4 linked regions of the Styela clava genome follow. The protein of the gene in region 2 interacts with the protein of the main gene of each other region in a pairwise test. Links are inferred from orthologs where the notes say so. Each region holds a gene or a part of one and is shown on either strand. Other genes may lie near its edges.

Region 1 (7,631 bases), on a different chromosome or scaffold from region 2:
GTAAATAATACTTCTAATGTATACCCAAATCATGTCCAGTATGGAGCATTATACAGAAAGTAGTCCATGAACCGAGTTATATTACAATATTATTCATATTGAGTAAGCATGTAAAAATGGAAAAAATGCATTATTGAAAACATGTGCAAAAAGTTTCATCTTGTCAACTTTTACTCCTATGTCAATATATTCAATTATTACTTTATTTATTCAATAATTACTGTAAAAAAATAGCAGAATAAACCAGCTTTTTAACTTGACAGATATAAAAATAATAAACCCTACAAAATTATTAAAAAATGTATTTTAAAATGAAACATAAAAAAATGAAACAATTTAATATAACCTTGTCTAGAAATTTTAAAGTTTTGAAATAAAAAGAACAACAATTTTTATATTACTAACATTAAAAATCAGTGTTTACGGAAATTAATAAAAAGCACTGAAAGAATCTGGCACCACTGCCGATTCGTAACATCGTGCCATGTTTGTTGCGATTATAATATAAATCAATTCGATTCAATTCTACAATTGAAAGTTCGTTTCCTGACTGCAGGACTGTTTTAGCTAGAAACTCTCGAATTCTAGAGTAAATTTATTTCGAATGATTTCACTATTTATTTAGCAATAACTTATCCATTCCGTACAGCAAAGTTCTATGATTTCAAGGATATCGCCTATATTGAAAGACATTGATTATAACAGTAGGAGCAAACCCCTCATTTACGAGACAGTCTGTAGAGACAGTCAATTAAATATTTACTGGGGCATTCCAAGCATGGCACGATCTGATGCATCTGCCTTCGTGTCGGGGCAGACACTCTTGTTTCAGAGACAAATGAAGTGTTTGTTTTCATTGCACACTTTCCAAATTCCAAGAATGTCCCGTCATTTGGTTCAATAAAACAAACACTCCATGTGTCTTACAAACGAGGGGTGTCTGGCACAACGGCAGATGCGTCATATGGTGCCATGCTTGCCTCGATTATAATCTAATATAATCGTGGCGGGCACACTGGCACATGACCAAAATTGCCATTTTTTGCTAAAAACTCTCAAATGCCACGGTCAGACGATAGAAATAATTCTCCTTCTGTAAATCGGACTATTTCTTCACCGAGGGAGTCAACTATGACGTTTTTAGATTGCGCTTCTTTGTAGTTTTTTTGCGCAATTCCATATATTCGTATATCAATGAATGCAACCTCCCCCCCCCTCCTTCCTTTAACAAGCCAGTCTGGGCCTTCAAGGGGACAAAATCTAAAAATTACTCAGAAAAAAATAATCTGATTTACCCAAAGAAAAATATTGGGTCTAGTATAGTTTAGTACAACAAGTACTTCCAGTAGGCGTAGCATAACGAATTTTGCATATGTTATTCCTAACCACCACCTGACTATGCCATCCAAAAATCACGTCACTACGACATCACCATTACGTCATAGGGCTTGCCAAATTATAATTACGATCGCCCGGAAATGGCATCTGCGTCGCGATAACGAACTCGGTAAAGCCGGCGATCTCTCTCCTATCGAGTCTGGATTTCATGGCCATTTTGAACGAGAAATCGGGCGTGCAATCAGAAATTCCCACGTGCAAATCAGAATTCCCGGCGTGCAATTATAGCTCACGACGTGCAAAGCAACTGCGCCCGCGTGCAACTGACTTTGACTTTAGATACTGTTCAATATATCCGCCTAAAATTACCGGTATTGTATTGTATTACTATTTATATACTTTGTCATTACTTACTCAAATGTCTAAAAAATGAACGTTTGACATTTGACCCACAAACATTATTTTTATTTTTTGACATCAATTTTGGGAGTGTTTTTGCGTAAAATCATTGGATAAAAAATAAGCCGAATCAGAGCCGTGACTGACCAGCGTCTGCGAGGAGTCTGGGGATCTATTCGCCCATAACTATTCTCACGAAGTCCCTATCAATCAACACGATGCGCCATACCGCCAAGCAATTATGAAAAACATGATCTTTTTTGCTTAGGCATTTTCTGACCAGGCCAAATCTTGCAAGCTAGTATGTCTGTATGCAGGTATGAAATCGACAATTGTGGAGCTACAATTTGTTGGCATCTTTATATTACTGGATTATTAATTTAAAAACCAATTAAACCAATTTTCATTGGTGAGCAATTGCAAATTCTCGGCGTGCAAAATTGAATTTGCTTGCATGAATTTATGCGGAGCGCTAGCAACCTCGGGCGTGCACCTGCCATGGAATTCAGTCTGGTCTCCTAGTCCTATCGCAGTATCGTGATCGTTGTGACAAGAAAACGAGAAAAATAGCTTGCTCGATTTCGGGTGATCGTCTGCGCGTTTTGGACGACCATTCGCATACTTTGGTGGGCCTTATTACGCCACTGTGATGTCGAGATGACCTAATTTTTCGGTGACGTAGTCAAGTGGGGGTTAGGATTGACATACGGTAGCCTATGCAAAGCCTATGCAAAAATTGTTGAGCCAGGCCAACTAGAAATGCATGTGGTACTAAACTATACCAGACCCAAAAAATTACCATAGCATTTGGGAGTTTCAAAGTTTATCATGAATGGCATTTTTGCAGAAAAAAAATTTTCAACATTAGTTTTAATTTAACAAAGAGAAACATTTTACAAAAATTAAATTTGTCACCAAAAACAATAATAGGCTATTCATTTCAGCATTTGGTAGCACAGTCAGACAGTAGCAATCACGGTACCGGTAGCAGGGTAGTGTATGCGTGTAAGTCGGTTCTGCAATCAGTCACTGGACCTCCATCTCTGAAACTCCTCAACGTCAAGAAGCTGAAAATTCATGCACCTATCACTGTGACGTATCTGTATCATCATGCAGTTTTGAAAATTTTGCGCTCGACGGTAAAAACTATTGTCCAAGCTAACTCCATTTCAAATTAGTGTCTTTCAAATGTCTGATTGTCTGCAAATAATAGGCAAAACAAAAACAAATCAGAAACGAAAGCGAAGGAAAAGCGACTGAACCCGAGTTGCCGCCATTTTACGTTTTGCGTCATAATATGACCCCTGACCCTCTTCACGCAACAATGGATTTGTTATTTCAAAATTTCACGTCGCTTTGGTTGTGGGGTTGTTGGTATGTATATAAATTTATAAATAGATGTGTAGACTAAAATAAATAGATGACTATCCTTTCAAAAATGTCTCTTTACATCTTTTATTCAAATGTTAATAATATTACTCTACTGTTATAATTGTAACATTTATGGATATATAACCAGTGGTGGGATTCAGCCGGTTTGCACCGATTCTACAGAACCGTCTCACGGAATTTTCTGAGATCAGCGAACCGGTTAGCATTACTGGTTACTGTCAATGGATTTTTGCATCTTACCTGAGACACCGATTTTTGAGAACCGGCTGGAAAATATGACTTTTGTGATGGAACCGTCTGACAAAACATTTGAATCCCACCGCTGTATATAACGCTTATTGTAATGATGGTAAAACGAGTTGTTAACAGTAAAATATTTCACTTATGTTATTAAAAAAAAATTTTGGTTACCGATGTTCTATTTCCGATATTAAACGACAGATGTCGTTTTTATCTCAAAAATTTAAACTAAAATTGGAGGTATTCGGGAGGTATGTACTTTGGGTGCGAGTAAAGTCGTAACCATTGAAGCGAACTGCTCCCGCAGTGGATGATTACCCCAATTAAATGTTTGTTATACTTCACCATATCAAAATTTTTGATGTGAAAATTTTAGCTTAGTTGGTCGCAGCTTTGGGGCTAATTTTTAATGCTGCAATCACACTAAAATGCTCGACAGTCGACAAAACCCGATATTCCACTCAGTGACCATTTCACGGTGACAAATACAGCTATGTCTACGCCCGTTTATACAAGAAAAAACGCTCAGCCTCAACAGTTGCTGCTACTTGCTAGTAGCGTCATAACGATCTGTATTGTTGTGTGCACGCTTGGATAATCTCGAGAGCTCAGACGAATCTCCTCCAAACATTCGTCATTTATGTCGGAGCTCAAAGAAGCTCACCACAGTCTCACTTCATTCTGGAGGTTATCCAGAAAATACAGACGCTCAATCTCATCCACCTGGACTGGTTTATTCGGGTGAAAAATTGATATCAAGGAAAAAGTGAAGGATTGTCAATGGAGCGTTCCCGAATAGAGCAGCTGAAGCCGTCGGCATATGGAAGGTATACGGAACGTTGGGAATACTGGGAGGCTGAATCAGCACAGACGTTGTCGCGTTGAACTTGTACTTCAACTACTCTGGGTATTGTAAAATCTTTCAAGTCAGCTATTTCACAAGTTTCTTTGTAAATATTCGATGCAATGTCCGATTCATTGCGTTCTTAAGTGAGAACGCTCTAAACGGAGGATGTGAGGCTCTTTACTGACGCACACTGACTCCGACCGCGTGGAGTATGCGCGCGAATGGTTCTATCAGAATGGTTCTATATGATAGAAAACAGTTCGCTACCTTTCACATATCTTAAAACAATGCTTAGTTGTTCTGTCCCTTACGGACACAAACGTTCTCCATAATTATATCTTGCATTATCATATTGCTTGCTACCCCGAGAATCTCCTTTTGTATCAAATCTCCACCCCCGGTGTCGATACGAAATTGAAGATGCTTTGCAAAATTTCCATTTCCCAAATGTCCACGCGAAGGTATGTTACTCGAAGCATAGAACATAACAGTCTTGACAATGAAAGCCATTATCATAGGCGTAGCCAGCAGGGGGCGAGAGGGGCCATGGCCCCTCCCAAATTTCCAAGATTACCAAGATCTGATAATGCCCAGAGTAGTCGAGATACAAGTTTATCACGACAACATCTGTGCTGATTCAGCGTCCCAGTCCCAACGTTCCGTATATCTTCCATACGTCGACGGCTTGAGCTGCTCTATCCGGGAACGCTTCATTGGCAACCCCTCGTTTTTTGCTTCACTATCAATTCTTCCTCCGAACGAACCAGTCCGGGTGGATGAGATTGAGCTTTTGTATTTGTTGGATAACCTCCTGAATGAAGTGAGACTATGGAGATCTTCTTTGAGCTCCGACGTCAACGACGAAGGAGCTTCTTCTGAGCAGTCGAGATTATTCAAACGTGCACACGGCAATATAGATCGGTATGACGCTACCAGCAACAACCGTTAATGCTGAGCGTTCTTTTTCCTGTAGGAAACGGGTCAAGACATGGCTGCGCCCATCAATGACGTCCAATCCCCTTTTCGATTTGTGTGTCCTTTATTGTCATCGTGAAAGGATCACTAAGGAGAAGATCAATCGGGTTGTGGCGAGCATAGTTGGCGGAAAGCGAAGGACGGGTTTTTACTGGTTCAGATTGCCTCATAAATATTTGTTGTATCAAAGAAAAAGTTGTTCGGGAAAAAATATTGTATTTACAAAAAGCCAGCTAAGTTGTTGAATGTTATTTTCCTTAACGATCGAATGTGGTCTTTTTCTGCTTAAAGAAGTGATGTCTCAGACCCAATATCATTGCTTGAAAATACAATATATATTTGGCCCCCACCAAAATTTTGGGCTGGCGTACTTTTGGCCATTATTATTCTGTTTTCTTTTGTTTGAGTAGCATATTGGGCCTTTAAATTCACACACATAATTTGACCAATTTTAATGCTTTTGACGATGTATGACTCAGGACTTACCCTGCGTTGCGCTGGAAACGAAACAACAACTATCGCCATGTAGTTCACATTTTTGTCACGCATTTTAGCCATTTTCCGAAAAGAATGATTTACTCGGCGGCAGTGTATGTATGTGGAAGGGTAATATATGAAACTGGCGGTGTCGAAAAATAAAGAATTTTTTTGGATTCATTTTTACGGAGTTATTCCATAACTACGTACTACTAAATAGCTTTATTGACAGTGACAATATACGCAGGTATATGCATTAGTTGATGACCATATATCCATAACAAATAAAGAAGGAACCTGGCGAACGTTGGAAGTTATTGAAAAAGCGGCGATGTAATGTTCTTATATGTTGCATAGTTAAGATACTATCAGTGTAAAGCGTTTCAGATATACACTGTAGATAAACAGCTCTTTACCTATATTTCGCTAAGCAACTATATGAAATAGGGTAAGTTTGAAACAGTATGTATCGCATAGATCAAAATAGTCGATTCCCCAATATAGAAAATCTAGTTAGCCATTTATCGCTGGAAATTTTGTTATCCATTCGGGATTTGAGAAGAATAACAGCTTATCGTAAGCTTGCTAATTGAACCCAGTTGCAGGCATGCAAATCAACATCCGTTGCACCAGTTTTATCACCATTTACTTTGACTCTCCCGCCGCGTTTGTTATTTGTGCGATGTCCTCATGCTCCGCATTTAGCAGCTCTGATAGTACTTGCAGCTTCCGCATTTCACAGGAACCGATTCCGATGGTTTAGCACCGATTGGTAAAATATAGTAACTAACTACAAACGAACATTTGCCACATTTGAGAGTGGAGTTGCTCAGAGGACGCTGTGTTAATATTCCAGTTATAGTTTTAGAATCGCTCAAACGTGGACTCATTTTTAAAATATCAGTTTTAATTGTAATGAGGCTATAGAGATCACTAAATTGTATTCTATGGAGTTTAAAGGACTGCTAGCTTGGACACTATAATGGATAACTTTTATGGATACAGCATAACGCAAAGCGAATGAACAAGAAGCTAGTCCAAAATCTCTGGTATAATGTTTCTATATTTTTTTGAGAGGACGACAAAATAATATCGAGGACAAAATTAGCAAAAATACTAAAGTTCAATTTGCTTGAAATGGTAATCTATTTGTTGAATAAGATTCATAAAATGATATTTGCCATTATGGTTAATTGTTTTCCAAAACTTTTCAGCTTCAATTCATTATTGCAAGGGTGCAGACTAGCCGAGATTGCTGCATTTTGTCAATCAATTATAACAATTCAACAATTGACTCCCTTCAAATACTTCTCATTGTATAGCGAAGATATAACAATGCTAAATTAATTAGTCGATTTTCAAAACTAGGAATTTTCTGCCCCCGCGTCTGTGACATACAGACGTTATTTTTCTCCGAGGTTCTTTTTTCGCTTCGCCGATGCGGGCCCGAAAGTAGAGAGAAGTCGTGCAGTCGACCGAGGTCTTTGCTCGAGGCGGGTCGTGTTTGCGATAAGCTGGTAAATTTCTTGCGTCGTTATAAATGCTGTTTGTTTCTATCCAAACTGTTTAGCAAAATGTGTGATCTTGTAATGGTTAGAGACAGAACATTTCATAAATATATTAAGGTATGCGAAAGAGACGGTAGTTTTGTTTCTATAAATTCGTAAACAAAATGCCGGTACTATATATCATTTGGATGGGAAACCAGGACCGTTCAGCGGCAACCAATGTTAACAATAAATTGAGTTTAGTTTCAGGGTTCAAAACTGTACGAGGCTTGTAATTTTCAGATACAGAATACTGCATTTTAAATTGACCCTGCAGGTTGTTTTGCTTTTGTAAACACTCAACGATGGAGGAAGTTAAATCATGTACGTCGCTAATGAAGTTTTGAACGGCTTATAATGTATTCCCTACTTATTTTGATATCTAAATTGCTTGTTGTGCTTACTTGACACAAGAT
Region 2 (7,150 bases):
GATTTGAGAACCACTGGTCATATGGAAAATAAATAAACAAGTCCATGCTTGAAAGAGAAATGAAATTAAATTCATTAGATTCGCTTCGCACTTGAACTACGAATAATTATCTAGATAGCCAGCAACTGATAAGCAAGGATCCAATCATATTTGAAAGAAATGGAATTATTTTACTTTGGCATTGTCCCCATGGGTGTACAACAGGTGGCCCGGCCCGCGAGTCACAACCCGGCCCGTCAGGCCTTTTGTAAGGCCCTTATCAACACTAATATTCTTAAATCTTATGACGATTTGCCCGGTGCATTTATTACTGTAAGGCCAGGGAATAGCAGCATTCTCTTCTTTTGTCCCAGCTGAATGTTTGAAGTTGGTTATATGGCCCACCGACAAAAAATGTTGCACACCCCAAAATCTTCATGCGACCCCATGAGGGGGCGCCACCCCAGTTTGGGAACCACAGACCTATTCTATACATACCATCTTCAATAGTAGACTCTCCTGTTTCTCCAGTAGTGATTTCCAGCTTTGGCAAAGTAACTGCTGTAAAATCTGGAACTCCCGGTATCTTAGGTGGGGTAGTGCTGATTGGTGATGGTGGCAAATTAGACCAATGAGGTTTGAATCTAAAGTTTGAACAGGAAAAAAATAGGCAATTAGCTAAAAAACACGAGTCTAAAACAAAAGTTAAATGTCTAACTAATAGGGCAACCATTGTACCAAACGACATATGAAAGTTTACCCATGAACTAAAAAAAACAGTCAAATTTGGGACAAAAGGATAAAATCTGATATAAATGTAATAGTGAGTGAAAAAATTCACACAGTAATTCGATGGTCACTGGTTCGACCACTAGAAAAGAAGAAGTTCGTCTATATTCAAAATTTGTTCAAAGCAAGCCTCAATGCAATGTAACACTCACTAAATTAAACAATCAAACGAGACATATCTCTGAGCATAGTCACAGGTGAACACACTCACTCACACATTCATTACACCCACCTATCGCTTCCAGGAGTGTATCCATTGCCCGGCATCGAGTCCACACCATTCACCATCATGTTGTTGTCATTGCTATCTGAGAGAGTCCTGTGAAATTGTTTGTTCATTACAAGTAGGGGTGAAAAAAACAATAGAATATTCATAGTCACAATGGTATTGTGGGTAAAATGATAGACAAAGTTGCGTTGGCATCCAAAAATAGTGGTTTTCATATATCAATAAATACAGTTGCTGCTCATTTAAAAATTACCTGAGCACAAAGGCCTATCAATATAATTAATTAAATTTTTGACAAGGTCAAATTTTTATTTTCAAAATTGATTTTTATTTGAAAAAAGGTCTTACCTTGGTAGATTACTCCATGAGCTGACAACCATTAGATTTTTCTCAATTCCTCTCATAAATTTATCACATTTTGTGTAATTCTTCCTCGGTTCTGCAAGAAGTTCACAAAGTCTTTGGATTGTGAAAGGCGGACTGTAAAAGAAAGATTCAACTAATTTTTCCTATCATTTCTCACAGTATTATAAGTTAAATGGGAGCTGGGAAGAGCTGCGGAGTCTGAAAAAAATAATACCAAGCAATGCCATAGAGCCAACAGAAATTTGCTCAAAGTATTGTAACTGATTAAATTTATTTTCATCAGAATGCGACCACTATGGATGTTTCCCCAAGCATCAATCAGCATGCCTCACGAGAACATTTAGATGAGTTGCAATAATTAAAAATCGATACTGCAAATGCTGCGATAGACTATTATAAAATTAGCTATAAGTATCTGTAAGCGGCACGCAGTTTTGCGTTTTAATAAAAATGAGTTTTGAACATGTGAGCCAGTTTGTATGAGCTAATTCCCCAAAACACTCTCGAAATGAGCGTTTAAAATTTTGCAATGGTTAAGTATAGGGAGATTTTTTTGGGGGTCAAGGGTCGAGGAAACTTCCACTGGCCCAAACTATTGAATCAAGAAACATAGTAACACACCTGTCAAACTCTTCCGTCAACTGCAACAATCTTTTTTTCATTTCATCAAAATCATCGTTGGTCGCATTTGCGTTGATTTTCCCAACTTTATAAGGAGCCATATTGTAAAATTCATCTAACACTGACGTCAATTTCTTCATGAAAACTTTCTGTACTTTCTCCCATGGCCCCCTAGTGGAGAAGAATATATTAAACTTCAACAAGGAATACAAAATTTTGCTTATTTGCAAGACAAGAATAATAGCTTAAATAGCTAAGTAATTGTGAAAAATCAAGAACTCCATCAAATTGGTCAAAACTCAGGGATGACCAAAACCGGAAAATGTTCCACATGCATTCTCAATAGCTGGGAAGGATGATTTTTGTAATGTAGCTATTCTAGATATTTTTCACTGATCAAGAATTTAACACACCAAATATTCGATACAATTTGGACATCTTTGAGTATTTGGGTCTAGTATAGTTTAGTACCACAGGTACTTCCAGTGGGCGTAGCATAACGAATTTTGCACATGTTATTCCTAACCCCCACCTGACTATGCAATCCAAAAACTACGTCACTACGACGTCGCCATCACGTCATAGGTCTTGCCAAAGTATAATTACGATCGCCCAAAATGACATCTGCGCCGCCGATAACAAACCCGCTAAAGCCAGCGATCTCTCTCCTATCGTGATCGTTGTGACGAGAAAACAAGAGAGATAGCTTGCTCGATTTCGGGTGCTCGTCTGCGCGTTTTGGACGACCTTTCACGTACTTTGGTGGCCATTATTACGCCACTGTGACGTCGAAATGACGTAATTTTTGGGTGACGTAGTCAGGTAAGGGTTAGGATTGACATATGCAAAAATTGTTGAGCCAGGCCAACTAGAAGTGCATGTGGTACTAAACTATATCAGACCCGAGTATTTTTAGGGCTGTGTTTCTCAAAAAGTGTCAATACCACAAAACTTAACACAGAACCCAGCCAACAACCCAGAAACAAAACTTACAAGATATCTCCGGTCCTTGCAATGTAAGTTATAAACCGATCAAGTTCTTCTGACAGGGGATCTTGTTTTTCTTCATAGCCTAAAAAATAAAATAAAAATGTATGAGAGATAACAATGTCCAGACATCTCCCAAAGGAGGGGTGTCTGATCATATGGAAAATGGTTTCTCTGAAACGGGACAAAGTCACCCGATTTGTATAGTGTGCCGTACTGTAATATCAAGATTTAGAATTCACAGACTCCATCATTGTTTGCCCTACCAATTCTACAATCAGTTTTATTTCTTTTGTTTTTATCAATTATTTTATCGCCTATTATGCTGATTATTGAGTCGAAAAAAACTCATAACGTTACTCATACTTGATAAATGAAATATTGAAAAATACAATTTCAAACAAAAAACTCACCCTCGATGGCCTGAATAAAAATGTTTGTGTCTTCCATTGTTCAAATATTTCACAAAAATCCTATATTCTACAACTTTAATCCATCTTTCGCACTAAACATTCAACAATTACAAACTACTTATTTCAGTCTTTCAGAAAGGACGTCGAGCATTATTCAGATTTATCAATTCGACAAGATTTAGAATTGAGCTAAAATTCTTAATGCCATATTTTTTTTAAATATTTTTGTGTGAGCGAACACATACTTTTCCATCTAAATTCTGTACATTTCAAACCTTACTCGAGGTTTTGTTTGCTCTCCCGATTCTATAATCAGGTATTTTTTTGTCTTCATTTAATATTTTATCGTCTACTGCTGATTATGAATAATACCGGTAAACTTATACCGGTACTTAAATTAAGTAAATAATAAATTCCAATTTACCATTTAGTTTGAAATAATTAAAATTATACTGAACTAAATTTCAATAATTTTTATAATATTATATATTTAACAGAATAATAATTGGTTAACTTTCTAAATCTATTTTCTGAATAAGTATATAGAAACGAGTACGGTACATTTAGTTGGCAATTCGTACGACGACTAGACGTCAACATTATTCTGCTCTCGGTCGCCGAATGTGTTTTCTTTCGCTCAATTAGTTTGAGTTTTTTTATCTGATTGAATATACCATAAATAATCTTCAACCGCATTTTATTAATATAATTTTAATATTAATATTAATTCTTATATACTAATTACCTCATTACTTTTATAAGAATATATAATCCAGTATCAGCTGTTTACACGCTAGGATAATTTTTGTAATCACTGAGGCGCGACAACGAACACCAACAGAAAATTTTACAAAATCGTTGGCGGAAAAACGAAAACCAAGTGAGTTGTAGTAATTTTTTGGACGGGAGTAAATATGGGGGAAGGTATAAGGATTAATTGATGTTCAAAAAAGTTCAAACCAAATTAGAATTAATGTTGACTAATTATTGTTAGTGGTATGTGCTGTTGTATATTTTTATTATTGTTGCAATGCTCATTTCATTGTTTGTGGAAATAAATCTCTCTCTCTCTCTCTGCTCTGTTTTCAGGTTGGCGAAATCTCTCTCACTCTGTTAAATGTAAACCTGTAGTTGCTAATGGAAAACATTTACAAATACAGAAATATTCTTTTTTGCCTTTGTCAGTGTTGGTCTTTTAGTGAACAGCTAACACATGTATTCCACAAGTTTGCTGGATGTGATTAGTTTATTTTTTAAAGCTTTTCCGAATGCCCATATAAATTGTAACAAAAATTGTTGTGATTTATGGTAATGATTAAATAGGGCACAGTATTCTGATTTCAATATGTCCCGACATTTGGTTCAATAAAACAACATTATATTGTCTCTGAAACGAGGACGTCTGTTACGATGACATATTCTTTCTTTGCTAAAAACTCTGAATGCTACAACAGAAAATATTTTTTTAATCTTGTAAACTCGATTATCTTTTTCAAGGAATTCAATAGTAATGTTTTTGAATTGCACTTCCGTTTGGTTTATCTGCAGTGCCGGTTTGTGTTTTGAGGCGATATGGAGCCCCCAGACTTTTTGGGTCTCGTGTAGTTTCGTACCTAACGTACTTCTAGTGGGCGTAGCATAACAATTTTTTGATATGTCAATCCTAACCCCCATCTGACTACGCCATCCAAAAAAATTAAATCACTACGACATCACAATCACGGCATAGAGCTTGCCAAATATACGCACGATCGACCGAAACGGCATTGGCGCCGGCGATAAAAAACTGACTGACGTTATCGGTCTCTCTCCTATTGGAATCGTTGCGACGAGAGAACTGTTCGATTTCGGGTGCTCGTTTGCGCGTCTTGGATGGCAGTTCGTATAGTTTGAAGGGCTCTATTACGTCACTGTGACGTCGTAATGACGTAATTTTTGGATGGTGTAGTCAGGTGGGGGTTAGGATTGATACTTGAAAAAAATTTCATGCTACGCCCACTAGAAGTGTGTTAGGTAAGAAACTACATGAGACCTGACTTTTTCGTAAAGGGGGGCCTCGCACTCACTGTTATAATTAATGTCTTTTTTATGTGGGTTTTTTTTTTTAATAGGAGAATTGTGCTGTAGAGATCTAATTTACTGGAAGGAAAAAAATTTTGAAAGCATTTGAGAGTTTATAGCAAAAAAACAGAATTTTGGTCACGTGATGGCAGAGTGTTTTTTTTATGTGCCCAAATGTCGGGACATATGGGAGTCAGATAACTATAGCCTACTGTCTTCATGGTTTTTTGTTGCAATGATTCTGTTTCTATGTTTTTTTAAGACTGATTCATAAAATTATGTAGCCTATCCCAACATACTGACCTAATAATTTTCATCCAAATTAAAATGCACAAGTTTTTTTTAATTCAACAGGATTGCGTAAATTATTTTTCTATATTGTCCTTTACAGGATAACACATATTAGCAGCACATAATTATGGACACTACAATATGGGAAGGTATGCAGAAGCAACAATTAGATGGTGGATTACTACTGACATCATGTGGTGCTGAACTGCAAGAATTAATGCGGCAAATTGACATCATGGTCCGACATAAGAAAATGGAATGGGAAGGGGAACTAGCAGCTGTACAGGTAACTATTTCTGTATTCTTCGATAAGATAGTAATTTTTTTTTGCTTTCAGCTTCACTCATGCCTTTTGCTTCAAACAAGGCTAGACAAAAGCTGTTATTAAGCCATTTCTAACTAGATCCCAAATAAACACTCTACAAACTCACTTCGCTGTCGGGAGTTATCCAAGCTATAATAAAGGATTGTTGGTAGTAAGCCAAGAAACGTTGAGTTTCAGTGTATTGTTCAAGAATAGAGCAAAATGGTATTGAAAAGCCGCAAAATTGATGTCTGACTGCGATCCCTGGAAAGTGCATTACAAAAAAATATTGAATTTTTTTGGGGGAGGGGGGAGGCATGGCGTATGTTTTTTGAGTATTTATGAGAGTCAAGTGGGAGGCATGAGATTTATCTATACTAAGACTTTTAAACTCGGCCTATATGCAAGGATATAAGGCACTTCGTAAATAATCTCTTCTCACTATTGCAGGACAAACTCGAAGTTCGTGAACAAGAACTCGGTCACACTAAATCTATGTTAAATCAAAAACATCAGGAAGTAGGAATGTTGAAACACAAATTAGATGGGTTTGACGGTAGCCAACGAAACGTGGTAAAACAATACGAATCCCAGTTATCGTATCTTCGCAACGAATTACTACAATTGAAATCGACGTACTCAAAAATGCAGAAACATTATGCAAAACAAGGTGATTATTTAATCAAATAATTTAAAATACTATATAACATTTATTTTACAAAAAATTACTTCGAATTGAGACAGCCATGCTCATACAATTCCTAAGAACACTCCATTACCAGATATTAAGTAATCTATAAAATCAACTAGAAAATAATATCAATAACTTTCAAGTTTATTGATGAAATAACAGGCGACCCAAAAAGATTTTTCATGCAACGCAGTTTTGGGTCGCGACGCAAAGGTTGAGAAACACTGCACTAAGCCATCACACCTACTAATATAACGCAAACAATTTTGTTTTTACCAATTATTCATATCTTCCATTATTTTCCAAATAGAGTATCGACCCTGGCCTTGATCGTAGACTGAAAATATTTGAAATTTCAGATTCGATAGAAGTACTTTATTTTACCTACCCTAGCTGTTATCTTTCAACAGGAAAGATAA
Region 3 (7,811 bases), on a different chromosome or scaffold from region 2:
ATCCCATAATTTATGAAGTTCTACAAGACGATCCTTTAGAAAAGTAGTGAAATTGATTTTGTTTGAAAATGGAGTACTTATAGGCAATATTCTAAAATTTTGATTTCATAGTACACAACTACACATTGGAAAATTATGATTCCTTGTTTTTGAAATTATCATTCAAGCAATAAATGATAATAATATTAAAACAAATAAAATATAACTCAAACTAATTTATTGTGATTGGTGTTTTTACTATGTTTTGTCGAATATAAACATACCCAAACTAAAGAAAATTGCTTTACTTCTCAGTTTTCTGCATTTTATAAAAAATTTTGGTAAAAGATATATTATGATTAAACTGATATTTGTATTATGTGTGGGAAAGTTACAACTTTACAGAAATCATACTTCACATATTTCTTAGTTTATGTTGCCACTCAATGTTCATGTTCTGAATATACCTTATTAATACAATACATCGAAGATTTAAAGCTCTGCATTTCTAGTATGCGCTAGAAATTTAAGTGCCTTCATCCATAATTTAAAACAAGATGAACTAAGAAAGCAATATGACCAACATCTATGTAGACTGATGGTACGAAAATCAATATTTTCTCTTGTGATATTGATCTTTTTGTACTATATGTACACGTATGTCAGGATTTTCCAAAGAAGGTTAAATAGGCCTATTCAGATTCGTTTACAGTCAATAAGTTGATATTTTAATTAGGGATCAAAAACTTGCTTTTTTACAGGTATTTTTTGAAATAGCCATTCATACAAATTATAACACCGAATTGAAATTCCAAATCCATCATAAAAATTATTCAGCGTTAGTCAGTTCTATCACAAAACTTCTCCGTTTTAATTGGTGTATGAATGTTTACCTTCACATCATCAAGAGCAAAATGATTTTCTTCAATCATGGTTTTTCCAGCATCATCCAGATTTTCCAAAGCACCAGCATTGGCATAAACCTCAGCTTCAAGAGCAGCATGTTTTTGTAATCGAGCCTAAAATGTATAGTAAAACTAAATGCATATTTAAATCCAGAGTTTTGAATTGTTTTTTATGAAACTCACATTTTTTAATTGAAATGCGGAGACGATGCGAAAATTTTATAAAGGTGTTTAATATTATTAATATACCTGTATACAATTAATAATGGTTTTTTCACAAGAAATATTTACATTCGTTAAATTCGGAAATCATATAAATATGGGTACATTTGACTGTCATGGACTCATGAAGTCAAGTGCAGTTTTAAGTATTCTGTGGTATCTGCAGCTGCCGCAAAACCATGGCAGTATTTCCATACCATGGCCGCTACGGCCAAACTCATGGCAACTGACTTTTTAGCTGCCACAAACCAATGTCGAGCTGCCGTTACAGCGGCAGCAAATTGAAAACCAATGGCAGGTACAATTTTGCTGCCGTAACCGCGGCAGGTGGGCCGTAAAGACAGGGCTGTCTATTATGGTGACAAATATTGGGTAAGTTGGAACGTTTTTCTTATGGATACAGTTTTGATTGATTTGGGGTTAGGGTTAGGGTTTAAGTAGATATAATTCCACATGATCAATTAAAATCTGGTACATTAATTTGTGAATATACCGTTAATACTGATTACTGAATACTGAATAGCGCTATAAAACCATGGCAAGAGCTGCCGCGGTTCGTTCGTGGCAGGAGCTGCCATGAAGTGGTAAGAACTGCCCCTCCATGAAGTAGGATATCATAATTAGGGTCTAGCTAAGTAACTCCCTAAAATAACGCCAAACAAAAATGTGAAGGGAAATTACCCCCGAAACTGTTCGCAATATGCCACACAGAAATGTGATGTGAAATTTTAATGTTTTTTCAAAAAAGTCTGTCTGGGGCGGAATGAAATACTTGACAGATGCGTTTAGTTAAAATAAAATTCACTCAATTTTCAACTAACAGACGGAGCAGGTACATCCCATGCCAAACAGGATATAGCGTTCTATGCGAGACAGAAAAATAATAAAAACATGGGCTGTATTTTAACATAACAGTTTTGTTTGGGGTGATTTAAGCAGTTGATGCGTGTACTTCGTTAGACCTCATGATTGATAATATCTAACAATTTATTGTTTTGAAAATATACTCAAACCAGGGCAGTAATATCTCAGGTAGAGCATGCTTGAAAAGCATCAAATTCCACGTCTTCTCAAACCCGCTATCTCTTTCTATGCTAACGCAACTGCTTATAATTTGAAAAATTGCAAGTGTAACACACCTCAAGGTTTGTCAAATCTTTCCAATTGTCTTCTGTTGCAATTACCATTTTTTCCGCAATCCATTTTTCCAGTTCATTCGCATTTCTTTGAAAATTTTGAAACTGCAGTACAGCATGCAACTGTTGTCTTCTAATGACCAATGCATCTTTGAATGCCTGTAAATACACAAACATTTAAAATTTATATCACCTATCATATTACTGTATTATCTGCAATTATAATTTTTTATAAATAGCATGCTTTTTTATAAATAGCAGTTTTTTCTCTCGTTTTCTCGTCGCAATGATTCCAATACAGCAATAGGAAAGAGATCGATAACGCCAGTCAGTTCTTTATCGTCGGCGCCAATGCCATTTCGGGCGATTGTACGTATATTTGGCAAGCTCTATGACGTAATTGTGATGTCGTAGTGACGTAATTTTTGGATGACGTAGTCAGATGGGGGTTAGGATTGACATATCAAAAAATTGTTATGCTAAGCCCGCTAGAGGTAAGTTAGGTACGAAACTACACGAGACCCGGAAAAACTAAATAAATTTGCATATTACAGTATTATCAGTCTTCCGGACAAAAGATAATTTTCTGTAATTGCACTTAAAAAAATTTAAGACCTTACCTTGTACTGGGACAATACATCTTCTCTTCTTGCTGCAATATCACCTGCCGTCTCCAATGGCACAAAATTTGAGCTTGTCGATGTACTCATGTTTTAAAAGTACTGTTGCGCTTAGATTAAATAAATTCTCTAACCCTGTATTTGGTGATACAAATTCAGAATTACTTATTCAGCATTCCATAGCTTGGGCTGTTGGGAGCCCAATCAAAAGTTGGGATGTCTAGGGTGCACACAATTTCATTGTGAGAATTGTTGACATGTTGAAATAATCTTCTGACTGTCTGATGTTATACTTCTTCATTCTGGCATTAGTATCGACAGGCGATTGTATCTACTTACTGACTTAAGTTATTGGTATCAGAATATACAGATATAAAATAGCCCAAATATTTTCATTGTTGTCTTTTTTGTACTATTGTTGTTATAGCTTATTAGGCAGGCCTATCTTAAAGAATTCTCGTTTTTTTTATTTCTTTGGTTTGTATGTGCAGATGTGTGTGTACAGGTGTACGAGTTGAGTATTTTTAAAATATTTTCAGATGATCTATTGACCTAAGAAGCAAGTTCTAAGTTTTGAATCCAGGATCATAATATAATCAGTTTTTTTGTTATCTATCACCAGCGCTTTATGGACTGTCTGACTGTTAAGCTGATTATAGATTCCAGATATATTTAATTATATAAATCAATTGCCATTATTTCATCTGGGTACCGGTACCTAATTGTAACTGCAAGTGGACTAGTGACACATGCAGACATGCACAGAAAAACTCAGGTTTTTTCCGGGCCCATGCTTCTGAAATAGTGGTTATCAGGTTATGGACTGGTAACAGGACAAAATAGAATTGTGTTGTGGAGCGCCATATGAATAAGCCGTCTTTCGGATTTTTCCCCCATACGAAATCCCTATCCTCCCTAATACCTGAGTATAACTTAGCACCGCTCCGCCTCGACCTCTCCGAAGATAGTCCCATATTGTATTGATTATTGCGTAAATCCACAAGGATCGCCGGCAAGATGCGCGCGATGGGCGTGGCTGCTGTGCGGCCTCTCGTTTCAGGTACGGGTAACGGTAACATAAGGTGGCGTAGTGCAGGGGTGCACAACCTCACGTCTTATATTCTGTACGTTTTAAAACATTGTACAAGGTTTTGTCAGCTCTCCTCTCATTTTTGAGAAAGCAAAGCTTCTTTCTATAAGGTACACCGCGTGACCCATCACTAATTAATTAATTACTCGCTAATTATACGACATAATTCATCCAAAATCAATAGGCTTCTGGTCCGAGATATGATGAATGTACATGCAAAATTTAGAACAGATTCAACCTCGCTTTCGTGAGATATCGCGTGCAACTAACAGACAGACAAACAGACAAATACCTATCAATATACTTACCGATCAAGATCGACAAGTAATAAGTTCAGAACATGTGGCGTTTTTTAAATATGTAGAAAAGGACGACGTTGGTCCGATAAGTCAGTAGTATTGTTGCTAAGTGGTGAGAATATTTTGTATAGTTCATGTTGCTTACTCCAGGATTTTAAAATTATAAAGTGCTATTGAATTTGTCTTTCTTTACTTTTTAGCGCTATGAACTATGCAAAAAATAAACTGTAAAACAGCATGGAGACATATTCACTGAATGCAATACTGGTTATAAAAGTTGGCCCGATTCAAACAAATATGTCATATTTATGACCACGTGTGTCATATTTATGACCACGGAAAATATGATTAAAGACGGTACCATAAAAAACCTCATTCTCATATTTTGACAATAATTTTATTGTTAACTTAGTTTTAAAGCCCTGGTCAGTCATGCTTTTTAAATATATTGGCATTCCACATTTTGAGTTTTGATGTATAACAAAGAAAGAGTATGTGGAGGCTGATAATACGTTGTAGAGTGGATGCTATCTCAGTGGTTCTCAACCTTTTTCAGTTCGCGGACCGGTAAAATTTCAAAACAAATTTTATGCCCGGGACCTTCAAAATTAACCGAAAATGTCATGAACACAAAACATAATCAAAAGAATGCAATTACGACAAAAGTACAAGGAAATGCGCAAGAGGCTTTGCAATGAGGTTGCTATGCTGCGAGTGAAAATGTCGCGTTAGCTTTGCGAGTTTCATTGCGTCTTTTGAAAGAATTTTTGCTTGTTTCTGCGTGATCCCGGGGCATGTTGTAAAGTTGAAGTTGCAGTCTCTGTCCTGTTAACACCACTAACTTGGTTTTTACCATTGGGTTTCGTTTGAAAGAACTAGATAATACTTTGCTGTTTGTTTGCCCTCATTTCGCTAAATTATAGGCCTACTGTCGATTTACGGAACGTACGTACTCAATTCAATTTCTCAATTAAGTACCGAACCATGTGCTATCAAACTCCTCCGTTATGACGTTAACCGCCGTTATGAGGTCATAGACCTAACGAACATCCAGCCGTTACGTGAAATGGGCAGAGGACCTCTCACCAAGTTTGGTAGTTAGACGAATACCGGTAATACGTATCAATATTAGATGAAAAAAACACAAAATTAATGGACATTCCGTCAATACTTTGTATTTTGAAATTTGCTTATAATATATTATTATTGGAATATATTTGGCGGACCGACAGCAAGGTTGCCGCGGACCGGCAGTGGAGAACCACTGTGCTATCTAGGCTGGAGAAATAGTCATCAAATGCAACGGTAATACAACGATTGTAATATTTGTAAATGAGCTTACATATTCATATTTTTTAATTATCTTCAGATTCAGATATTCAAAAAAAATATTTATACATTTCCACAAGCTTCAGAATAGTGGTTCTGTGAAGTGAAATTAACCACAATGATGTGAAACATATGATCTATTTTTCGAATTCCAAAAAAAAATGAGCTACAGAACTTCCGTCGGCATAGTTAGGGCATGAAAGCATTTGGGCTAAATTCCAGACATGTCGTGGTGATCCGTAATAATAAAAAATGGTGGTTTTGACTTTTTTTATATATTAACTCGAGGTTCAAACGACAGAAAGACCATCAAAGGATTTTAACGATCTTATTCGGTAGCACTTTAATTCTGCTACAATTTGATATAGGATTCGAATGATAAAAAAGACAGCATTTTAAGGGTAGCAGTGTAGCGGCCATTCAAAACAGTGACCGCTCTTATTGTAACTAAACTGGCAACCGTAACTTAGGGCATTGAACCCTGACCTTTTTGGTGTTGGCGGGTTCTCCTTCTGCGTGAGCCGCTTGGAGGTAAGACTCCTGTGTAATAGCACTGTACAGTATATTACTATTACGGCTCAGCACCATACGATGGCGATGTGCTCGTTAGGGTGATTGAAATAAATAGATCGTACAGGCACTTTGTTTTTGATGACGCGGTTCTGTCTGATTGTCCAAAGATGTTTATTGTTGAGTCAAAAGTTGGTGAAATAGTAGTCAAATACTAATGGTGAAATAGTTGTCAAACAGAAATCCGGTAAAATACAGTGCTATACACAGGAGGGACCAATAATAACTATACGAAACAAAAAAATAGAATTACTTGATGTAAATTTAAACTACGCCTAATAAATAATACCAAAAGGATTCTTGTGTATTCCGATCTAACAATCACAGTAGCAAAACCAAAACTGCGACAGAGGAGCAGATTTAATTTTTCACCATTGATGCTGAGGACCAGTGTTGTTGGCTCATAATTCAGTAATTGATCAATAGGTTAGAGCAGGGGTTCCCAGCCTTTTTTATATATCGACAAATTATTGAGCATTTTAAATATTCGCGGCACACCTATCAGTCTAGGGTTGCCAACTGTCCTTTATTTCAAAGGACAATCCTTTGATTAAGCTTTTCGGTCCTTGTCCTTTTTAGCATTTAGAAAAGATGCTAATTGTCCTTTATTCTTTCCAACGTCGTTTTGTCCGATAGTTATAGTACTGTGTTTGATATTGTTCCGTTCTTAAGAAATCTCCTCCGTTTATGTATTTGTAAACTTTTAATTATTCTTTTTAATTTCGCTTTGGTCCAGCTCAAATAGCCAAAGAAATAACAGTTTTATTAACATTGTTTGGGTCAATGTTAAATAAACATTACATGAAAAACACATGAAGATTGTTTTAATATATCCTTTTAGCTTGTACATGATGTTTATTTCATTGTTTTATATTGTTCTTTCGTCTATGTCCTTCATTCAAACTTTTCATAGTTGGCAACCCGTCCCTACTTATCACAAAACATGGCATTTTCCGTCATGAAGTCATTTTGCTATGAAATAATAATGATCAAATAAGATCAGATAGGGAGAATTTCATTCATGTTAATACAACATACTCTGTATTTAGCAACAGGTGTAAAATAAGAATGGTGATATCAGTAGGACTGTTATGCCTGGTGTTTTTTCCCCACTGCTGCAATTTGTGGACGAATGTGAATACCAATAAATTCGTCTATATTCAAACACATGTTGTTTCTGTTTTCTCACAACAATGTACACGAGAGCGCCTTCGTAGCACCTAACGACGGCTAACGTTATTGTAAAAGATGCGCGGCCGCACGGGTAATGCGTGGTTTTCAAACGTAATGGCGATCACGCGTTTCGGTTTTGTTCGCTCTTCCCCGTTCCATGTTACGCCTTTACTATTATCACGTATTTTCCCTTTTGCACAATATGATTCTTTTTGTTATACAATTTATTATGTTTCTCCCATTGCCAAAATCATTCAATAGCGTTATTGTCGGCAATTGCGGGGGAAATAAAAGACTTTTCACGTTGTGAATTTCGTGCATGGCCTGAGCATAATTTGATGGACAGCATCCCTTTTGCACAACATGATTCTTTTTTTACAATTTATTATAACATTATTACAATTTATTTATGTTTCTCCCATTGCCAAAATCATTGAATAGCGTTATTGTCGGCAATTGAGGGAGTAATAAAAGACTTTCCACGCTGT
Region 4 (6,873 bases), on a different chromosome or scaffold from region 2:
TGGCATTTCATTAAAAAATTAAAAAACACATAAAAAAATAATATAATATTTATTGAAAATAAAAATTTTAACGTTTCGCTGATTAGTTTTTATTCATGTTCGTCAAACGCAAAATCATGAGCCCCTTCCACTACCCAAAAGTACAGGGAGTACTGATAGAAGAAATGCGAGCAATTTATTTCCTCATAATTAGTTATTAATTTGAAAAACATACTCACAGAATATCTACTAAGAAGACTATCAAAAATAATGACACAGTGAGAGATCTCCAAAGATTTTGAGTTTCATAAAAATCCACTGAACGATATGCAGCAGTTTCAGGTATAGGATTTCCAAGAAGTAAAGGATACTGGGCGACGCAAATAACAATCCAACAAAATATGAACAAGAAAATACTACTGACGGTGTTGTAACCATATAGAGTGGTGAACGTGGTATAAGGTAGCGAATACCACATACCCAAACCATTGACAAAAATTGATAATAAAGATGCGGTGACGATGGACGAATAAAACCTAAAAACAAAATAAAATAATATTAAATATGGTAGAAAAATCAATTAATCTGTTTCACTCAAATCAAGGTAAAGGATGGCTTATTACTTGAGTAAAAACATTTACACTCCAGTTAAATTTTGAGCATTATTACTATTCAGAATAATTTTGTATGAGAAACAATTTTCAGTAGGTTAAACTGATCAGAATTAACAGGTGTAATATGATTGCATTTGTACTGCTATTTAGTTCTTCATTACTTCCTGAATTAGAACGAAAATGGATTCCATAACACTAGAGTGGTGGATAATATGAATAACAAAATTTTTCAGGTCATTACAACAATAGTTTGCAACACGGAGAAGTTTCAGTTAGAAATTGGGCTTGTGCTAGTATTGTAGGAAATGTCTATGAGCTATTTTCAACTATTTGTTGATAAATAAGATACGAATATAATATATAAATTATTGCAATTCATATTTCACTGCTAAGTGCAATACGAGCTGCTTTTTCATAAGAAATTATTTGATTATGCTAAGAACAATAAGAAATATTTAAAAAAAAATAAAAGATATTAATAATAATAACCAAAAATTCAACATGAAATTTGAATAAATACCCTAAATAGTAAAAGAACAAAACAATATACCTACCTCTTTGGAGGAACCAAAAATAAGAAAGTATTTGATGACAAGCATGATTCGAATATAATTTCATCTTCTTCTGCAAGTAACCTTCTCAACTTCTTGGAGGATACTGTCAAAAAAGAAATAAGAGCCCATGTAAAATTCTCAAAATGAAAAACCATAAAATAGAATGACTATATTCTTAACAGAGATTTTTCTGATACTAAATAAACGTTGTGAAAAATCCTAATGCAGCATTAAAATTTTTCATAAACTATAAGAAAGAATAACTCACCACTAGCAGCTGAAGATAAACTAAATTTATCAGAATCTTCGATCTCACTACTCCCTCTCGAAATTACTTTACTTCCAACTTGTAGCAAAAGAGTGATAATCCCAACAACTAATCCATTTCCTATACAAGCATGAAAAGGAGCTAATCCACCGACTTCCACACCAAGTGTGAATGCTCCGCCAATAAAAAATGGCATCAACCAGAGTAGAATTTGACAAATATAAATATACCACGGTACTGCATACCCAAGTTTTAGATTCAGTCCACCGAAAAACGTCTGTGGGAGTCTTTTATATACAAACTCTTTTTTGTAATGATTCAACAGTGGAATATCTGATCCTGCCATTGTTGGATTATCCAATGGAAGATATCCCTTTATATCATATCGATCATAAAGATTTCATTGTCCGAAAAAAATGCATATTGGTAATGTGACGATGATAGATTATATTTATCCACATAAAAAACTTAATCATATCTGTACAAAAAAGATGTCAGGATAGAAAAAATTCGTATGATTATGTACACTAAATAAACAAGGCTATGCAACTTCTTACATTTGGAATGAAAAGACTTGTTAATTTAGTAATCGGGCAATTGTTGGGCGCTGGCGACACGTCGTGCAAATAATATTAGATATTTTTATTTACCCCAGTTTCATGTTTTGATTAGACCTAGCTTGCTCTTGATTTCATTGATTGCGAATTTGACGTAAAATACTCTTGCAGTCAGGCCATTACATTTCTGAAAGTTCAGTAATATTTATATTTACAGAATTATGACGAAGCTGCTTCTCAAAAAAGGCAGAAATTGCTATTGGGTTTTAGCATTATATCAGTAGGCTATATGGCAAAATACAGAAGTAAATTAGTCACCCATGCAATAAAACAGAACAATACATACTGACATAGGTATTAATTAATCCCTATGTCCAATCTGTCTGTCTCTGGTCCTTCAAAAAAGTTAACTTACAGACTTTTACAAGTTCTATTTCAAAAACAGTTCTTTTTTGAATCAAACTAACAACACTGCAACAGGCAGACAGGTCCCTCATTTCAGAAAATATAACTGTATTCAGCAGCACAAGTATTATGTCTGAATGTGGGCGGCATTACCATGACACTCTTCACATAAATTAAAGAAAAAACAAGAACGGGTTTGCCCAGTCGCTGAATACTGGAATATCACATTCCACTGGTCCAAGAACTGAAGAACGGGTTCTCCGTGAACTGGTCACTGTTTCTACGTTTTACCTGCCTCCTTAGACTTTTCAGTTACCATGTTTCACATGACCTATCCAAATACTGAAATAAGTTTGATATACCAATGTTAATTCTCATTCGCCTCGATTGTCATAATGATCGGACAGCCAAATTATGGTTGCTATGACCAATGAGAACATGAACCACAACAAACAGTAAATTTCCGAACATGAAATAGGCTACGCCTTCCATCAGACACTTTTCTGGTACTTTGAAGATTGTTTTATATTCACAAATAAAGACTTCCAGGTGGTTTGCCTGCGCGCTCAACACCGAAAGTTTGAATAATGTACGATCGACTTCGAAACACGCATTCCTTTGTCGTTTAAAATCCGGTGCCGATGCTGTGGGCAAGAGCAACGACTAACATACAAGAGTATTTCTTCAAAATGATTACGTTATCGCAAATTTATCTCCTCTGGCGTTTGATTCAAATGAATAGCACTAACTGTATCGATAAGGACCCAATAAATTTGAAAAATAATTGAAGTACGCTGATTATGAAAATTTGACAATGATGAATTCAGAATCGTTTCAAAAAAGTAAAAAATAACAAAATAAATAAATACGGCGAAATTTTGAAGGGAAAATCAGATTTCACAAAATTCACAGCTTTCATAAAAGTGGAGCGAGTCAGTCTGACGGGCAGGCAAGATGAGAAAAAGTAAAAAATAACAAAATAAAGAGAAAATCAGATTTCACACAAGATTCAGAAATAAAATAAATAAAAGTTAAACCTTTGACGCTACTACCCCTCCGAAAATTTTCCCGAGTTTCTCGTAGCAGGAATTTACAGAATTAAACCGGAACAAAAATAAATAATACAGCAAAATTTTGGAGGAAATATCACATTTCACACAAAATTTAGAAAAGTACTTTTAACCACTGAAAATATTAAAAATTGGTCCAGTATTCGAAAAGAAAAGCGGTTTTTTAATGGTAATGATTAATATTAAATCGATCGTTATGTCCACTAACTAACGTGTCCAATAAATCAATGACATTAAACAACATGATAGGCAACTCTGACGTCACTCCATAAGACTATACGCGAAAGATTGTATTTCATGATACGCTTCAATGCACATAGTTATCGTCGCCTTTCGAGACCGTTTCCCGTTCGCTTTTGCTTCTCGGCGCCTTCTTTACGTGTAGTATCTGCCTTTTTGCGCCTGTGACGAAAGGAAATAATCATTATATCTAAGAAGTTTTGCTCACTTGGAAAGCTGGAATGACAGACAAGCTAGCTGTAAAGAGTAATTCTGGACATCATAGACGTTTTTATTTTATCAGAGAAGATTACAAACGCGATAGGGCAAAGATTTGTGTGGAACATTTTGCAGATAATGACAATGTTCAAAGTTACTAATTTTAATGTTTGTACTTAAACATTGAAATTTTATTTAAAGTGGGTGTCTTACAAAACAACAAGACTGTTTATACTTCTCTTAACGGTGCTGTGATACAATTCCATAACACAAAGTTTGCACCCATCGAACTTGCTTTAGTAGGTGAATTTATTAGACATATTACATATTCAGTTTATCGTAGGTAACATTGATGGTACATAATGCTTCGTAGATATGTTTGTGTCTAAATTTAGAAATTTAGCTCATAGCCCACTAATTAGTATTATCGTCTATGCAGGAGGTTGCAGGGCTGATTTCAACTTGCAGCCTTACCGATCACCTGATGATGCTCATTTAGTTTGGCTCGAGCAAGTCTTCTTGAAAGACTTGTGTGAATGGAAACTACCTATATCTTTTGCCTTCCTCCGATTCTAGAAGACAAATTTAATCTGAGGAATTTTGCATATAGTTCTCATTGATTGTTGGCTGTTTATATTTCCTATTAATTGTGAATTCTGATTATAACAAAGAGTTAAAAAAATTTTTACGTAATTTACTAGCACCTTTTTCTTGTCAATACTCCAAGCTGAGGCAATAAACAAGACAATACATTTATGTCACCTGGAAGCAAAATATGCACACTAATTAAAAGTTTGACACATTGAGATAATACATCGCGACAGCAAATACAAGTTACAATACAAGTCATACAATATGCCGCATCGCATTTTGGAAATTGTAAAAAGGGCCGCAAACAGTTTTTGATAATGTATACTTAAAAGATAGTTTTAGTTTGTGACATATATTGTGATGCAATTAAACAGTTGGATTAAGTTCTATTATTTTCTCTAATTTCAAATGCAATTACATTTTAATATTTGCATTCCACTATTATTGCAAGTTACTGTATTTATCACAAAAAAATCATAAAATTCTATGTACAACCATCAAAATCATTTTTGAACAAGCTTTGGATAAGGAAAGAATAATACATACACTAAGAATGACTTAATCTAAATATATAGACCTAAAATTAACAAAAATACTATAGTATTAACTCAATGTTTACTCAATTACATTTGCCCTGACGTTTGGCATCTTTTTTGTGTCACCAGCATACTAAGGCCAGGCTGAAATGATTTTATAGTACCAACTCTTATAGTAACTAACGAGGTCACATGATCATGGGTTAATATGGATCTGTGAGAATGTTTAATTAATTCCAGTAATGCAAGAAAGCGTAAAGATCAGTAAACGAACAAATGACAGATTTTTTTGACAAGAAATTTTGCGCCACATTGCGTGGCATTGAGTTGCTTGAATTATTGTTGATATTGATTTTTAGTAAACTAAGTCGTTGTTATACAAACACATGGGAATTTTCGGTTCAAAGTTGGTCTTTGAATTTGTCATATTACTGCTGAGTTTATTGTGTTATTTCATTGTACTGATGGAAATATGACAAAACAAAAACAATGTGCTTCGGAATTTTGAGAAGTGCAGAAATATTGTAAATCCCATTTTTCTTCGAAAATGCCACCTTCTTCATGTACTTTGCGTTTAATTTACCCACTCAAATGTTTTATTCAAGTATTTTTTTGCTAGCTTGATGTGTAAATTCTTAATTGGGTCAAAATGTGAAAAAAATAATAATTTACCAAAACTACTTTCAGTAAATTGTTTTTTGCGCAAATAATCAATTTCACTTTAAAAAATTGGAAAAATCTTTTACATTTAGATAAAAAAAAACTTTCAAAAAACTATTACAATTATTGTTTAGCGTTCGAGGGCCGCACTGGAAGTTCTCTGGGGCCGTGAGTTTGACATCCCTGGTCTATATTTAAGTTGTCCAAAATATTGAACAGTACTTTATCATGAATCATGATTATACCCTTCCCTGAATTTCTTCTATAGTACTACCAAAATATGATGGAACTAATTCTAACACAGGTGTAGTGAGTGACCCATAATCTACATTTCCAAAGCTGTTTTAATTATGTCTGGCGTGTTTTGTGCCTTTTTACAAATAAGACCCATACACAACTCTACCGGGGGGGTCAAATGTCTTTGCATGCCTCCATAGGTTGTTCTTCTATTGCAAACATTTATGGAGTACTCTAATTGTATTTCTTGGAATCACATTGTCACTGATATTTTGCCAGACTTCTGATATCTCGCCGTCTGCTACAGTTGTCCTGTGAATAAATAATGGGAAATTGAGGTTAAACGAATAGTTGAAAGTTTTGCTTTATGTCGACTTAATTTCTTGACTGATATTCTTACTATTTTTGCTATTGCCTCTTGTGCTGCAGGAATCTCACAATGCTTATACAGGTTTGTCCACAACATTCACATCTGAAGAAAAAGAGGATATTTATTAATTTTTGTCAAGAATATTTAAAGAGGTCTATATGATTTAGAATGGAAAAGTTAATAAATCCAATATCTCATGTTAAATGTAAAAAATGTTTTACTGAATTTGGTATATAAACCAACTAATGAAGGGGTTTAGTCCAAAAATTACAGGCATTCGTGGCTTCATATACTTGAGAGATCATACTATACAATATAGACCTGGTATGGGTGAAATGTTAGGTGAACTTATTAACCCTTTGAATCAATACGCAAATAGAAGTGATTGAGCAATAGTATGTTACAGCAATCCGTATATATCCTCATTGGTTAGAAAAATCTAAATGGAGGTGCATGAACTATTTGGAATCATAAGGGGTAGATAAATATGCAATTTCGGCAAATGGGCAACTACGTACCGTACTGAATTAATAACTTTGTAGTATTTGAAAAAGCTGGCTTTCCCACATGCACTTAACAGTGCGATGCCCGGGT

Evidence for each region.
Region 1: the proteins of centrosomal protein of 63 kDa-like (region 2) and structural maintenance of chromosomes protein 3-like interact in a two-hybrid assay, tested with the Homo sapiens proteins (2 studies listed by BioGRID and IntAct). The link is inferred for Styela clava from reciprocal best matches to the Homo sapiens genes CEP63 and SMC3.
Region 3: the proteins of centrosomal protein of 63 kDa-like (region 2) and spectrin alpha chain, non-erythrocytic 1-like interact in a two-hybrid assay, tested with the Homo sapiens proteins (2 studies listed by BioGRID and IntAct). The link is inferred for Styela clava from reciprocal best matches to the Homo sapiens genes CEP63 and SPTAN1.
Region 4: the proteins of centrosomal protein of 63 kDa-like (region 2) and pecanex-like protein 4 interact in a two-hybrid assay, tested with the Homo sapiens proteins (2 studies listed by BioGRID and IntAct). The link is inferred for Styela clava from reciprocal best matches to the Homo sapiens genes CEP63 and PCNX4.

The regions. Positions count from the first base shown.
Region 1 is NC_135259.1:4,477,029-4,484,659, forward strand, and holds the start of structural maintenance of chromosomes protein 3-like, read right to left. Parts: upstream 3,010-7,631; 5' UTR 1-3,009. UniProt on the Homo sapiens protein: Central component of cohesin, a complex required for chromosome cohesion during the cell cycle. The cohesin complex may form a large proteinaceous ring within which sister chromatids can be trapped.
Region 2 is NC_135258.1:3,856,131-3,863,280, forward strand, and holds the start of centrosomal protein of 63 kDa-like, read left to right. Parts: upstream 1-4,144; 5' UTR 4,145-4,264; intron 4,265-5,836; 5' UTR 5,837-5,863; coding exon 5,864-6,022; intron 6,023-6,490; coding exon 6,491-6,710; intron 6,711-7,141; coding exon 7,142-7,150. Other genes in the region: uncharacterized protein LOC120339798, read right to left, coding at 478-623, 1,001-1,087, 1,346-1,477, 1,985-2,155, 2,978-3,056, 3,385-3,421. UniProt on the Homo sapiens protein: Required for normal spindle assembly.
Region 3 is NC_135253.1:9,914,294-9,922,104, forward strand, and holds the start of spectrin alpha chain, non-erythrocytic 1-like, read right to left. Parts: upstream 3,019-7,811; 5' UTR 2,953-3,018; coding exon 2,863-2,952; intron 2,402-2,862; coding exon 2,246-2,401; intron 999-2,245; coding exon 873-998; intron 34-872; coding exon 1-33. UniProt on the Homo sapiens protein: Fodrin, which seems to be involved in secretion, interacts with calmodulin in a calcium-dependent manner and is thus candidate for the calcium-dependent movement of the cytoskeleton at the membrane.
Region 4 is NC_135253.1:17,646,778-17,653,650, forward strand, and holds the start of pecanex-like protein 4, read right to left. Parts: upstream 3,026-6,873; 5' UTR 1,762-3,025; coding exon 1,416-1,761; intron 1,251-1,415; coding exon 1,148-1,250; intron 516-1,147; coding exon 219-515; intron 1-218.